Linked DNA regions of Arabidopsis thaliana. The protein of the gene in region 2 interacts with the protein of the main gene of each other region in a pairwise test. Each region holds a gene or a part of one and is shown on either strand. Other genes may lie near its edges.

The links.
Region 1: the proteins of TCP20 (region 2) and WRKY28 interact in a protein complementation assay, tested with the Arabidopsis thaliana proteins (one study listed by BioGRID).

The regions. Positions count from the first base shown.
Region 1 is NC_003075.7:10,058,084-10,065,530, forward strand, and holds WRKY28 (WRKY DNA-binding protein 28), read left to right. Parts: upstream 1-3,130; 5' UTR 3,131-3,424; coding exon 3,425-3,855; intron 3,856-3,968; coding exon 3,969-4,112; intron 4,113-4,226; coding exon 4,227-4,608; 3' UTR 4,609-4,810; downstream 4,811-7,447. UniProt on the Arabidopsis thaliana protein: Transcription factor. Interacts specifically with the W box (5'-(T)TGAC[CT]-3'), a frequently occurring elicitor-responsive cis-acting element.
Region 2 is NC_003074.8:9,954,645-9,962,091, reverse strand, and holds TCP20 (TEOSINTE BRANCHED 1, cycloidea, PCF (TCP)-domain family protein 20), read left to right. Parts: upstream 1-3,146; 5' UTR 3,147-3,337; coding exon 3,338-4,282; 3' UTR 4,283-4,448; intron 4,449-4,532; exon of another isoform or gene 4,533-4,551; 3' UTR 4,552-4,716; downstream 4,717-7,447. Other genes in the region: YSL6 (YELLOW STRIPE like 6), read left to right, coding at 1-469; ARP2 (actin related protein 2), read left to right, coding at 6,308-6,349, 6,639-6,749, 6,868-7,002, 7,091-7,162, 7,242-7,320, 7,442-7,447. UniProt on the Arabidopsis thaliana protein: Transcription factor that binds to the site II motif (3'-TGGGCC/T-5') in the promoter of PCNA-2 and to 3'-GCCCG/A-5' elements in the promoters of cyclin CYCB1-1 and ribosomal protein genes.

The DNA.
Region 1 (7,447 bases), on a different chromosome or scaffold from region 2:
AGAGAATTTCAATTCGCATTGTAATGTAATCGACCATGTATAGTTACTCAACATATTGATGTCCTAATATCAATACCAATTAATGAAAAATTTAGTCTTTTCGGTTATTTGTTTTTAAATGCATTTTCTTATTCTTGATAATCTATACACAAATATCATATATATTAAATTAATCAGCTGTAACAACTCAAATTTCAGAAAGAGGATAACGTGTGTGAAAGAACAGAAAATACAAGAGATTCCTTTTTATTCATATATATTTTATATATACTAACATGAATAATAATGATAAAAATGTCACACATGACAAACCTAACAACAAACCTGCCCCAACTATTCTATTCCAAAGCTAAAGTCAACAATTTCACTCTCTTTCTTTTTATTCTTCTTTACGTTAAATTGAAACTTAAATAATGTAATAATTATGTGTTTACTAGAAAGTAGAAATAAATTTCATAATAATATCTTTATATGTTAGGCACAAATCCCCAAAAATAGGTCAGACATTTCAACTGCAGACAGATACAGTTATGTATACGTGTAATTGTAAGCTAATGTTTTTTTTTCACTTACAGGTTACAAATTACATAGAGGTCCACGGTCTAACTTTGGGTAATTTAAATGTGGGGCTTATGGATAAGACAACGCAAACGATTAGGCACCAATTACGGCGTTTAGTTTCTGCCTAAATTAAAACTATAAATGTGTATTAATATATATCTTAGTATGCATTAATGTGGTTAGGTACGAGAAACAGATTCATATACCACCATTATGGCATTATTATAGTATGCAATAGAAGATTGAATATATATTTGACTTCGAAGATTGAATTTTTTTTGGTTTAGAGATTATTCTATTACTCATATGGAATCTGATAAGAGTTGCTGTTTCTCTTTCCCAAATTAAAGTATGTATACGCCTTGATGTTCTTGGTCAAATGTGAATGGTTAATGTCTCTTTTGGTTCAAAGAGAATTATTCGGTCTTCTTAATTATTTCGACCAAAGATTACTAGATTGGTATTGATTTTCTCGAAAACGTTTTTCATCGTAGTTTGTTTTGACCAAAAAGCGTTAAAAACATGGAAATTATTATGCCCTTCTTTCATTGATCAAATTTTTATATACCAAAGCCATAGTATTTTGATTCATTCCAATATTTTATACTGAGTATCACTGAGACACTGACTATATATATGTATGTATTCTCGCGCTATCCGTAATATGCTAGGTAATATAGCAGTGATTATTAAACGCATTAAGATCATCATACGTAATTCACGATAATTTGTAATCCAAAAACTTAGGTGTGACCAAAAAAAAAAAAAGAGTTGAATCCTTCACCTACCAAAAAAATGGATTGTGACCAAAAGACCATGACATATCAAATTTTTAGTGATTAAACCGATTTCTTCCAAGATGCTAGTATTTGTTTTTATCTTGCCATATTTTAGTGATTTTTCATAGTAGTAAATATATCACTTTGACCACATTTAAAGTTGATGTATGTCCCCTTCGCATTTGTCATGTCGGTTAGGCATTATATGTCTCCTTTTTTCCTGATCATATGCTCCTATCAATTTCTACAAACTCATGAAAACGATTACTAGCTATATAAATCAAGCATAGGGTTCATAACATGCAACTTTAATTCCCCACAATTATCGCAAATAAAATTGTATATAAAGGGTTTATCGTAATTATCATAATGTTAACATTTTCATAATATAGATACTTTTGGTTTGACCATCTTTTCCTTAATATAAGTTAATAAATTAAGATGCTCTTTTACTTGCAAACAGAAAGTTCTAATGTGAAAAAGAAATTGTTATTGCGTAATCATGATCTCACTTATCCGTCAGCATAAGTAACGATCCACTCCACATAGCTACGTCACTTAAAGTCCCATAGTAACTAATTTTCTTTGAATGTTATAGCAAATTATTAGCAATGTATGATTCTTTGGGTCAAATCTTACACTAAAAACATGAAAATAATTTGAATATCAAGAGATTCATATATTCATATTTTATAACCAAAATATGTAGGGTCTAAATTATTGCTTCTTGACTAGGAATTACCTATGAATAATTATTAAGGTTCGTGAAACAGTGAGGGAAAAAGAAGAAGAAGAAGAGAAGACAGTCTCTAGCACGTGCCAGGTCATGTGTCGGCGACGGTCAAATGCCGGTGCAAGTGTTTCCACGTGGCAGCCTAATACTCCCAAAATATAATCTTTTGTTTTCGTAAACTTTTTTCCCTTTGAATCTTTGACTGCCTCTTACTGCATTCTTCACACCAAACGACCGGCCGGTGACTGAGTGTTTCCGGTTTCCGGTAACACATAGTCTTCGCTGACTAAGACTCCTTCAATAACGTCGTCTTCTTCCACGCGCCGTTTAGTCGTAGCGCGTGTTATCAAGCCCGTCCACTATATATGCCACGTATAGAGTGGGGAAGAAAATGAAGGTGAGAACTTTTCATGTCCTACTTTTTGGCCCCATAAAAAAGGCAGCACACAAAAATAACCCAAAATTTATGCATGTTTATCAAATGTGGAAAAATAAAAGTAGAATTTTAGGAAATTTATACGAAGATACAATGCAAAGACTCGAAGAAATGTATTTAGTGGTATAGAAATACTTGCAAGTAAGCATATTCTGAATTAAAAATATAGAAGCTTAAGTATGTTTCCTCACTAGAAGCCAGTTTTGCAGCTCTATTTTTGTCAACTTAGCTTTACGTAAAGTTCTTATTGCCCGAAACCAAAAAGTCATTCAAAAGGCATAACATGATATCACAAATAAAATTATCATCTACTTCTATATCTTATTTCTTGAATATATATATATATATATATACCTATCTATTAAGTTGCTTATCGTTCACATTATTAATTTATAATTAACTTTATGTACATTTGACTGATAAACATTAAAAAGACTTATTTGAACCTTTTTGTATATGAATTCAAAATTATACTGATAAAATAACGTGAGGAAGAAATATTATGAAAGCTTTTAACATATAAATTAATTTGCATAGGAAAAAATTACACAACTTAAATTGAGATTAGTTAAGAAACAAGAAAAAACAAAGTTGATAGAAAAATAAAAGTATTAACACGACTTTGGATTCACACACGTACCATTGAATTATATCTCAATACACTTTTACTTAATTAACTTATTTCCAAACCAAGTAGCCAAAATCATATTATTCTTCTCTCTCTTCCTTTTTTGAGTTTCAAAATGCATAAATACGAGAACGAGAGACGAAGACCAAATTAAAGTCCAAGCACCAATCTAGACCTCTTAGGAAAAAAACCTAAAAACCTAATCCCCAAACCTAAAAGGCTTATCTCATCTCTTCTTCTTTGTCTTCTTTACTCTTTTTTTACCTCTCTCTTCATTGTTCTTCACCATGTCTAATGAAACCAGAGATCTCTACAACTACCAATACCCTTCATCGTTTTCGTTGCACGAAATGATGAATCTGCCTACTTCAAATCCATCTTCTTATGGAAACCTCCCATCACAAAACGGTTTTAATCCATCTACTTATTCCTTCACCGATTGTCTCCAAAGTTCTCCAGCAGCGTATGAATCTCTACTTCAGAAAACTTTTGGTCTTTCTCCCTCTTCCTCAGAGGTTTTCAATTCTTCGATCGATCAAGAACCGAACCGTGATGTTACTAATGACGTAATCAATGGTGGTGCATGCAACGAGACTGAAACTAGGGTTTCTCCTTCTAATTCTTCCTCTAGTGAGGCTGATCACCCCGGTGAAGATTCCGGTAAGAGCCGGAGGAAACGAGAGTTAGTCGGTGAAGAAGATCAAATTTCCAAAAAAGTGTAAGTCATAACTCTATAGGAACTTTTATGCAAAACATTGAACATCATTTGATCTCTTCGTTTAGGAATTTAGTCTAGCATGTGTATTAATTTTATAGTGTATTATTTTTCAGTGGGAAAACGAAAAAGACTGAGGTGAAGAAACAAAGAGAGCCACGAGTCTCGTTTATGACTAAAAGTGAAGTTGATCATCTTGAAGATGGTTATAGATGGAGAAAATACGGCCAAAAGGCTGTAAAAAATAGCCCTTATCCAAGGTAACTAAACTTTCCCTTTTTATTTTTTGAAATTGCTAGGCTTGTGAAAATTTGTGTTTAGAAAAATGCGACCATTATAGTGTAACTGATAATAGCCAATGGAAACGAAAATAGGAGTTACTATAGATGTACAACACAAAAGTGCAACGTGAAGAAACGAGTGGAGAGATCGTTCCAAGATCCAACGGTTGTGATTACAACTTACGAGGGTCAACACAACCACCCGATTCCGACTAATCTTCGAGGAAGTTCTGCCGCGGCTGCTATGTTCTCCGCAGACCTCATGACTCCAAGAAGCTTTGCACATGATATGTTTAGGACGGCAGCTTATACTAACGGCGGTTCTGTGGCGGCGGCTTTGGATTATGGATATGGACAAAGTGGTTATGGTAGTGTGAATTCAAACCCTAGTTCTCACCAAGTGTATCATCAAGGGGGTGAGTATGAGCTCTTGAGGGAGATTTTTCCTTCAATTTTCTTTAAGCAAGAGCCTTGATCGATCATTGTTATAACTACATATATTATATATATTGAGAGAGAGAGGTAGAGAAAAAAAAAACTTATATGTAACTTAAGATCTTATTTTGTCTCTCTTATTTGCATGTACATATTTTTTCATGAAAGAATGAGACAGTTGGGCTTGCTTATATATTTGATGATGTTTAATGTGTTACCGTTGGATACATATTTTCGCTTCCATTTTGTGAAATTATATTTTCTTCTTTTGGTTAGTTTTTTACATTATGATATTATGCTGTGTAATTTGTACTATCATATGTAGAAGCGAAAAAGACATAACTCTAGCTAGGAGCCTACGATTGATCTCCCAAATGTTGATTATAATATATACATATGCTTTTGGGAAACTTAAGTATTAAATTGACAAGTTCAAATGGTCAACTTCTTACTGATTTATATCTTAATAATCAAAAATTACAAAAAAAAGTTACAAGCTCATATGTGATGAAGAAATTAGAATCGGAAATTTAATGTAAGGGTGTTGATATAAAAGGTTCAAGTTGTAGACGACGAATATCTATGTGTGTGAACAAGTAAAGAAAAAACAAAACAAGTTGAGATCTAACCTTGTGTCCTAAGAGAATGGACCCGAATAAAAGATTTGACTGCTTCTGCTTTCTATCTTATCCACACACACATGGAAACATAGACTGTGGACCAATAATATTACCCCTACCATCAAAACTGAAAACAATGTTTTAATTCAAAAAACGAAAAATAAAAAGAAAATACTAAACAATAATAAAATTATATATCAAATCTCAGATTTATAAAGAGTGAATGAATTACAAAAAAAATTTGAAGGAACGAGAAGGATGCGAAGAAGAACCTTAGAAAAAGATCTCTTTATATATTAACTTGTAAATGTGTTTGTGCAAATGAAAGTATAGGCAACAAAGTAATAGTGGATTCTCTATATATAAGTATTTTATGAGGAACAAGAGGACCAAATTTCTGAATTAATAAGCAATACTATTATTTGGGAGCGCATTTGTGTCATATACCAAAGTCATTGAATTTAGCTGAAACTTGAAATCATGAGATGAACGAGTCATGAGATCATAGAACATGTGGATTTCTGAAATTTCAACATGCGCGCTCCAATGTAACTTCAGTTTCCTATTTGAAAACTATTCTTAAATTTTGAAATTCAACTGATATGTCCAATCTCGAATCTTTTCATTATCAATTATCATACTCAATTTGTATTAAATCACTTCAAATACAGTAGTTTTTTTTTTTTTAGTTTAAAGACGTTTCTTAAAGGTTTTAAATGTTATGACACATTCACAATTATCATCACTGGTAAAATTTGCATTGGAGTGTTCTTGGAAAACATTCTTTCAATATAGTCATAAAATTACGTTTGACATATAATTCTTACAAACCTAAGGTATATTCGCAAAAATGTTATAGCAACTTTGAGAAAACATATTAAATATATACATAAATCCTTTCTATGTTCTAGATTTTGACTAAATATGTACATGTTTTGACTGAAGAATGATTTGGCCTACACAGATAACTATTAAAATGATCATATACCAAGTCAAATCATATATTGAATCATACGGGAAATCCATTTGACACAAATCTGTATTAGATGGAACATTTATTTTAGTATTTTCATATTATTTTGCTTATAAAAAGAAATCTCGGTGATAATGATTTTGGTTTTGTTTTCGGGGTCGTTATCAAATTCACCTAACAAAAACAAAAAAGGAAGCCAGAATGTTAGAAAGAGAAGCAAAGTTATAAAAGATCTTCCGGGAGAATCAAGTAATTGCCAAACCCCCTAGTCCCTAGACAACTACAATCATATGACAAACATTATATTATTTTAGAAAATACATACAAAAGCTCCGTTTTTAAATTGAAAAATAAGCTTATATCTAAAGAAAGATCAATTTATTACGTCAATTTTAAGAAGAATTTTAAGCATATTCTAATGGTGGAATATCATCTTTCAAATACTTCCCAAACACCAAATCTAGGCATCGAAACCGTTGTGGACGTGTAGATATCATTTGTAATCTATTGCCAATGACCGATTGATTGTATCATCATCAAAATGAAAAATGCGTGGATATTGTAAAAATAAAAATTTTAGTTGACAAACTCATGTCATGCGACATAACTCATTGGGTCAGGCAAAATACTACATTCGAATCCAAATCTGGCAATTATAGCTAGCACTATTCCTTGTATCAAACCGGTAATAAAGCTAGAGGTAAAGTTGGCAAACATAGATAGTTTATAAACAACTATGCTTTCGGATATCATTGGTCTTCTTTTTGACTTACATTCATATTATATAATGTTGTTGCAAGTATATGATATGTTTCGAATGAAAAGAAAAAAAGTTTCGAATGACCAATCTTCTCTTCTCGATCAATAATTGGATTTTGCTGGTAAATGAATTATTTACTATATATCTTCTTTGATACGTCTCTTCTTATTTAAATGACATAAAACAAATACAATAATCCAAATTTTAGGCACGTCAACATTATTAACTCTTAAGTGGACATAAATAATCTCACTCTTGACGGTCTTTCAAAGGTATTGTATTAGCATGAAATTCTATATTAATTCTTAACATTTACCTTTATCTTGTTTTTGTTCCTAAGAACGTTTTCTAAAATTCTCCAAAATGGGCCCAAAAGTATGAAATCCAAATTGAGCCCAAAGTTGTGATCCAGTGAAACGATAAAGCTCTCACGAGGTTCAAGCTCCCACAAGCTCAGATCGTGGGCGGTAAAAGAAACGGTTAACTAATTGTAAAAAATGATTTTTTTTTTTCTACTTCACTAAAA
Region 2 (7,447 bases):
CACATTCTGGCTGTTCTGGACTGCCTTTGACATTGGAGATCCCAATGGTCCGTACAAAGCACCTTACGCAGTGATTTTCCGTGAAATGGCGATTCTCGGAATTGAGGGCTTTGCTGAATTGCCTAAGCACTGTTTGGCTCTTTGTTACGGGTTTTTCATAGCAGCTTTGATTGTGAATCTCTTAAGAGATATTACACCGCCTAAGATCTCTCAGTTCATCCCGATCCCAATGGCAATGGCTGTCCCATTCTACATTGGAGCTTACTTCGCCATTGACATGTTTGTTGGGACTGTGATATTGTTCGTATGGGAACGGATCAACAGGAAAGATGCAGAGGACTTTGCAGGTGCAGTAGCATCAGGACTGATCTGTGGTGATGGGATCTGGACTATACCATCCGCAATCCTTTCAATCTTAAGGATCAACCCTCCCATTTGTATGTACTTTGGACCGTCCTCAGCAAGATAGAGATGCCACTGTGGTCATAATCGCAACCGCAACTGTGAGTCATACAAAAGGAAACTTATCCGAGAGTCTTGTGGCCGTCAGAATCGAAACAGTTGTCTTCATATGTTGTGTAGATATGTTTAGTATCTCAGCTCGCAAGAACAAAATGTTGTTGCAAATCTCTTCAAATGTTTTAGTCAATGTTGTTGTATGTCCCCGGGATGTTGTCTCCTTGAATGCTTTCATTCACAAGCTCAAAGAGTTTTACGAACATTTGCCTTGTTCAATCATCATAAGGAGTGAATGCAGATGAAATAATGTACTGAAACGATTCCAATTAGCCTCATATTGATAGTTTAAAATTACCAAGTTTAAAACTACTACAACTTATCATGCAAGTAAATGTTTTAAATTTAATATATACTATGATGCATGCCACTCTCGTAAAATAAGTTAAGTCCAATGATGTGATCATCAAATGTATGGTAAAGTTGATATATGTGAAATTCTGGTTTTATATAGTTGTTAGACTAAAATAAGAAGATATGAAGAACAATTTCATTAAAGAAGTTAAATAAGGTTATCTCAATGTGTTAAATACATTGAAAGGTTGGCGTAGTGGAATTATTAATCTTAAAAACTGCTAAGCAACTGTAAATTTGTAATGATGACACTCCAATCACAATTTACCATAATTGGGGCACGATTGGTGGAGATAATCGTGGCACAAACTCTTAAAAATCATTGAGAAAAAAACAATTTTAAATGAAAATAATGGTGAGGGTAAACATAAATGAAGGATATGGACAGGTTGAATTAAATGGATACAGATTATCTTGTAACAATGTGTGTCCATTTTATTCATTTTGTTAGATGAAAACATCATTTCTATATAATTAAACAAATAGAATACTGTGATTTTGAAATTGAAAATTAAATGCATTGATTGTATTCAAGTTTTACAAAATGTTTGCAGAAGATCGTCCACAATATTTAACCAAACCATAAACAAATATGGGCAAGCAAAAAATAGGTGGTCACGCAGCTTTTCTGCTTGACTGAACACAACCCTATTGACGCGTTCTAGTTTCCATTGAGAGTCTATCCTTGATTGCCAACCAAGAGATGAAAGCAAATGGAAGGACAGTTTTGAGTTTTGGAAGCAAACTAACTTTTTTAACGACGTCTCTATTAAGGAAGTTGGTAGCTCAAGCTACACTTTATCACATTTAGATCGCGAATGAACAATATCCTTCAAAACTAAATGTCTCTACGACTCTACCTCACCTCACCACTTTCAAGTTCATTGATTGTGAGATCCGCAACACAATCTCTTCACGATGACAAGTAAATCATTTTTGAAACGTATAATGCAACTTTGAATTAGATGATCACACTTATGTGATGTCTTCAATATTGTTACTTTGTTTTTTATTCTTTTATTTTTGCAAAGTTGCAAAAACTGAATGTTTTAACTATTATAATTCTATAAACTTTTTTTTATTTCTTTTGAACAAATGAACTGTAAATGTTGACACACAATTACTAAAGCAGGAAATCAATCGACGACGACTGGACATGTGTTAGTGTATGATATTTAAACGTGATTATGGGCGTCATTAATATAAGACTAATGCCTTTAAGTAAAGCTAGAGAGTAGTTAACTCATTAAGATTAATTGAAGTCTAAGACTTATGAGTAGTTATGATGAAATGAGTAAAAAAAAAAGAGAGATGGTATAATGTTGTCGGTCCATAAATGATGAAACTCTCAAACTCATTCAATACCTTTAGATCTTGCCCTACAAGCGAACCAAACCCTGTGTGGACCGGCTAATTGTCAACATGTCATTGGTCCACTTGATGGACTAGCTAAAAGTACTTCCTTCTTAGGGAAGACGTTGACTTTGACTACTGTTGTAGTTTTTTTTTTTTTTTTCGTTTAGGACAGAATGAGAGATATATACGAAGCAACAATGTATTCAATAGTACTTACTCTTTTTCTAAAATATTGATTTTCTGAAAAAAAATTATGTTCTAAAGGGATTAATTTTCTACACATTGTAATTATTTAATAATAATAATTTACAAACTTTAAAAAGTAATTATTGAGATTTTTTTGAATATATCAACTGTTATTGGATTGTTACCATCAGGCTAAAGCACGATCTTTAAAATGTGTTGCAGCAAGAGGAACTCTCATCTCATGAGGGACATTTTTGAATGTTAACAACTCTTCCGTCGTGCTAATCCAATCTAGGAACTCTTCTGTTTGTAAAGTACCATAAAATTCAGGTAAATCTAACTTGAAACCTGATTTCCACATATAATTATGCCCCATGTAAAAATAGATTTTAGATCCGTCACTGTGTATCTAGTGGGAAATGAAGTGGCAGTTGTTAGACTCTCAATTACCTTTGGATTAAATGTGAAAGTGAAACGGTCACACTACTTTTTCTTTTATGTGTCGTTTTGTTACTTTGCTGTTTATGGTCTTAAAAATTGCATTGTTTGGTGAGAAACCTATGAGACTCACTCACTCGCTATCTCTCTCTGTTATTTAAAGTACCAAACCAAAAAGTAAACAAGAATAAAAAAGAAAAAGACAAAACTAAAGTCTCATACTTTTAAAGTGTTTTCTCATTTCTTTTTTGACCAATTTCGAGATCAAAAGAAACATTTTTTCTTTATTCTCCTCAAATTCTACATCGGGATCTTACTGGGTTTTTTTTTAAACATTAAATTCGTAAATTCCCAAAGAAAAAAAAAAAAACTCGATACCTTTTGTTTTACAAAGTCGTCACAATTCTGAAACCCTTAATTGAATCCAAGAGAATTTTTGATTAAATTAAGTCTCTGGACCCTGAAGTCCCCACACAAGCAAGCTTCGATGGATCCCAAGAACCTAAATCGTCACCAAGTACCAAATTTCTTGAACCCACCACCACCACCGCGAAATCAGGGTTTGGTAGATGATGATGCTGCTTCTGCTGTTGTTTCCGACGAGAATCGCAAACCAACAACTGAGATTAAAGATTTCCAGATCGTGGTCTCTGCTTCCGACAAAGAACCAAACAAGAAGAGTCAGAATCAGAACCAGCTTGGTCCTAAGAGAAGCTCTAACAAAGACAGACACACTAAAGTCGAAGGTAGAGGTCGACGAATTCGGATGCCTGCTCTTTGTGCTGCTAGGATTTTTCAATTGACTAGAGAATTGGGTCATAAATCTGATGGTGAAACTATCCAGTGGCTGCTTCAACAAGCTGAGCCATCGATTATTGCAGCTACTGGTTCAGGAACTATACCGGCCTCTGCTTTAGCTTCTTCAGCTGCAACCTCTAACCATCATCAAGGTGGGTCTCTTACTGCTGGTTTAATGATCAGTCATGACTTAGATGGTGGGTCTAGTAGTAGTGGTAGACCATTAAATTGGGGGATTGGTGGCGGTGAAGGAGTTTCTAGGTCAAGTTTACCAACTGGGTTATGGCCAAATGTAGCTGGGTTTGGTTCTGGTGTGCCAACCACTGGTTTAATGAGTGAAGGAGCTGGTTATAGAATTGGGTTTCCTGGTTTTGATTTTCCTGGTGTTGGTCATATGAGTTTTGCATCTATTTTGGGTGGGAATCATAATCAGATGCCTGGACTTGAGTTAGGCTTGTCTCAAGAAGGGAATGTTGGTGTTTTGAATCCTCAGTCTTTTACTCAGATTTATCAACAGATGGGTCAGGCTCAGGCTCAAGCTCAAGGTAGGGTTCTTCACCATATGCATCATAACCATGAAGAACATCAGCAAGAGAGTGGTGAGAAAGATGATTCTCAAGGCTCAGGTCGTTAAAAGGATTGGGTTTTTTTTTGTATCTTCTGGATTTGAAAAAGCTTTTGGCTTTTGTTTTGTGATAATATTGTTGTAATTTGTACCACCATGGAGAAGAAAAAGAAAAGGTTATATACTGAGTGAGAGTGATAATCTATACTTATTGAAACCTCTGCAAAAACACAAGGTGAGTTCAATTTGAGGATGATGATACAAGAGAGTGGAATCTTCAAACCTTTTTTTCCGAGTGTTTGTGACAATTTTTTGGCAGTTGTTGTTTGAACTTGCAGGTGGAGTTTGTTGAATACACACAGCCAGAGATTTTTTTGTTTGGAGTCTTTAAGTTGCAGAGAGGCTTGTTTTTACTTGTTCTGAGTTTTGTTGCTTTTGAATATCAAGAAACCGGCTTTTTTCAGATAGTACAACAATGGTAATGTATACTTGTCTTCCATCACATATTTGTAGAATGAAGATTTATAGCTCTCTTTTGCTCAGTATTCTTCTATTGCATCTCCAAAGATTGTTCTCTTTCGTTCGATCTCTCTGAATGAGTTAAAGACTTTCGTTTAGAGTCGAGTGTAAAACACTTCGCTGCATGTTCTGATTCAGTGGCTTTGAGCTGCAATGGATTTCACAATGATGGTAACGTTGTATTCTTTAACTCTTACTTACATTCATGTTATTGCCCTGAGTGTGCCGTTAACTGTGGGAAGGTTTTGAACTAGGTACAAACCCTTCGCAGTTGGGAACCAAATAAGCTGGTATTGCATTTACTCTTTGCCTTGCAAGCTTTTTCAAAGATAAGTATAAATTGTTCAACGAGTCAAAAAGTTTATATCATTTTACTCATTTTGACTTGAATTTGACGGAACTAAGGAAAGAGACTAAGAGAGAGAGAGAGAGAGAGGTTAACGAGTCAAAAAGTTGCTTGATCTCTATGATTTGTCCAACCAATCAAAACAAGTGAAGAAAATTCAAAAACATTCACAAAGCTCTCTCTTTCCCTTTTGAGCAATGATCTAACTCAACACTATGGTCCAAATACAACTCCAATAGATCCATTCCAAAGCCTCCCTCATGATGAGAGCGTGACTTAAGTTGCTTACTCTTTTAATTTCCATTCTCTTCGACACATTGGGCAAGGAGCTTGACTTGTCTACGAATTCTTCCATTTCAATATACAGAAGTGAAGATGAAACGCGTGGTTACTTTGAGGTCTAAGACATGCAGTTTTGTTCTTACCAGAACTAAATAAAGCAGCTTAGCAATGTTCCAGTAAGCATGAGAGACAGTGTGTGTCCTAATTAACCTATATAAAAGTGAAAACATGAAAGCTGATTTTACATCGAACAAGTCATTGGACTTGTGTGTGTGAAACTGTAAAAGTCTTATCTTATTTTTACTATATTGGTGACTGATACATAACATGTTGTGACAGGAACTTAATTTACAACATGTTATGTAGAATAAATTTTAGTATTGAGACAACATAGAGACAACAAAAAAACCTAGAAGAAGATTGATATCCCAACTTCGTACCAAAACCCTAGTAACATCTTTCTCGTAACATAACCCTAATAGTGATTGAAATCTCTGATCAAGGGATTGCATGATGATCATTTACTAATTCTTAGTTTAGATCATCTAGAAGATTGTTATACAAGTAAACAGAATTATCTGTTTGACCTAATATGGGCCTGAGATAGCCCATCAATACCCACAACCAAGTTAACTCCATCTCAATAATTCGAGAAAAGGGGTAACGTATTTAATAATTTTTTCTATGTATTGACCGTTTGCACTACGTGACGTTTTCACGTAGAGTAAACGACGCGCATTCTTATAAAGAAACGAGGAAACAGCTGCTTTTTGTTTGTCGAAGAGCAAATATGTTTTCTCGATCGCGACCAAACAAGTAGAGAAGAGTGATTCTTCGCTTCGATTCAAAGACAGGTTTTTTCTTTTGTTCCCTGAGAGATCGAATCGAAGAAATCGAAATTTTTGTACTTCGATAAAAATCTGTAGTCTCTATAGAAATCGGAGAAGATGGACAACAAAAACGTCGTCGTTTGCGACAACGGCACCGGTGTAAGCTTCTTCTCTCTGATATCTCTTGTTTCAGACTCCGAACTTTAGTTGAATCTGATCAATCATTCCATTCCTATCTGGGTTTCGTTAAAAATCTCACTTTTGAGTTTGTTTAGGATCTAGTTGTCTTAAAGTTGCAAAATTTGAAAACTTTCATGTCTTAGCATAGTGTAAGATCGTGTTTCTATTGAAATCAAAACTAATACATGAGAAATCTCATAATGGGTTGCTTAAGTTTTGAGTTTCTTGTGATGGGAACAAATTGTGAGCCTCTTATTAAATTTTTCAGTATGTAAAATGTGGATTTGCTGGAGAGAATTTCCCAACGTCTGTTTTCCCCTGTGTCGTGGGAAGGCCATTGCTTCGGTATGAAGAATCACTCATGGAGCAACAAGTCAAGGTTTGTAGATATGTGACTTTAAATAAGCAAAACCAGATCATTGTTAGCCTTTTGAGTTTTGACTGAGCTGATATGCGTAATTCGGATTCATATACGTTTTGGTTTTGTTTCATTTTAGGATATAGTTGTTGGGGAGACTTGCTCTGAGCTCCGGCATCAATTGGATATAAATTATCCTGTCCACAATGGTATTGTGCAGAATTGGGATGATATGGAACATGTTTGGGATCATGCTTTCTATAACGAATTGAAAGTAAGTTTCTTCTCCTGCTTCTTCTTGCCATTTTTGTCTCGGTTCCATGTGTCTTGACTTACTCTTAAACCCTTTTTGTTATTAACAGATCAATCCATCTGACTGTAAGATATTGCTCACGGATCCACCTCTTAATCCGTCCAAGAATCGTGAAAAAATGGTAAGATATTATCAAGTCTTTGGTTAAGAGTTGCTTTGATGGTTGTTGGAGCAGTGATTTATTTTATGTTATAAAACAGATTGAGACAATGTTTGAGAAATACAATTTCGCTGGCGTTTTCATTCAAATCCAAGCCGTTTTGACTCTCTATGCTCAAGGTGCTTATGGAGACTATTGAAGGTTTAGATTTTCTTTCGTGTGTTTAGATAGTCACCTGTAAATAGCATTTATGTGTGCTTCCCTGATATTTTTCTTCATGTGTTGAACTCTTGGTTTCAGGTTTGC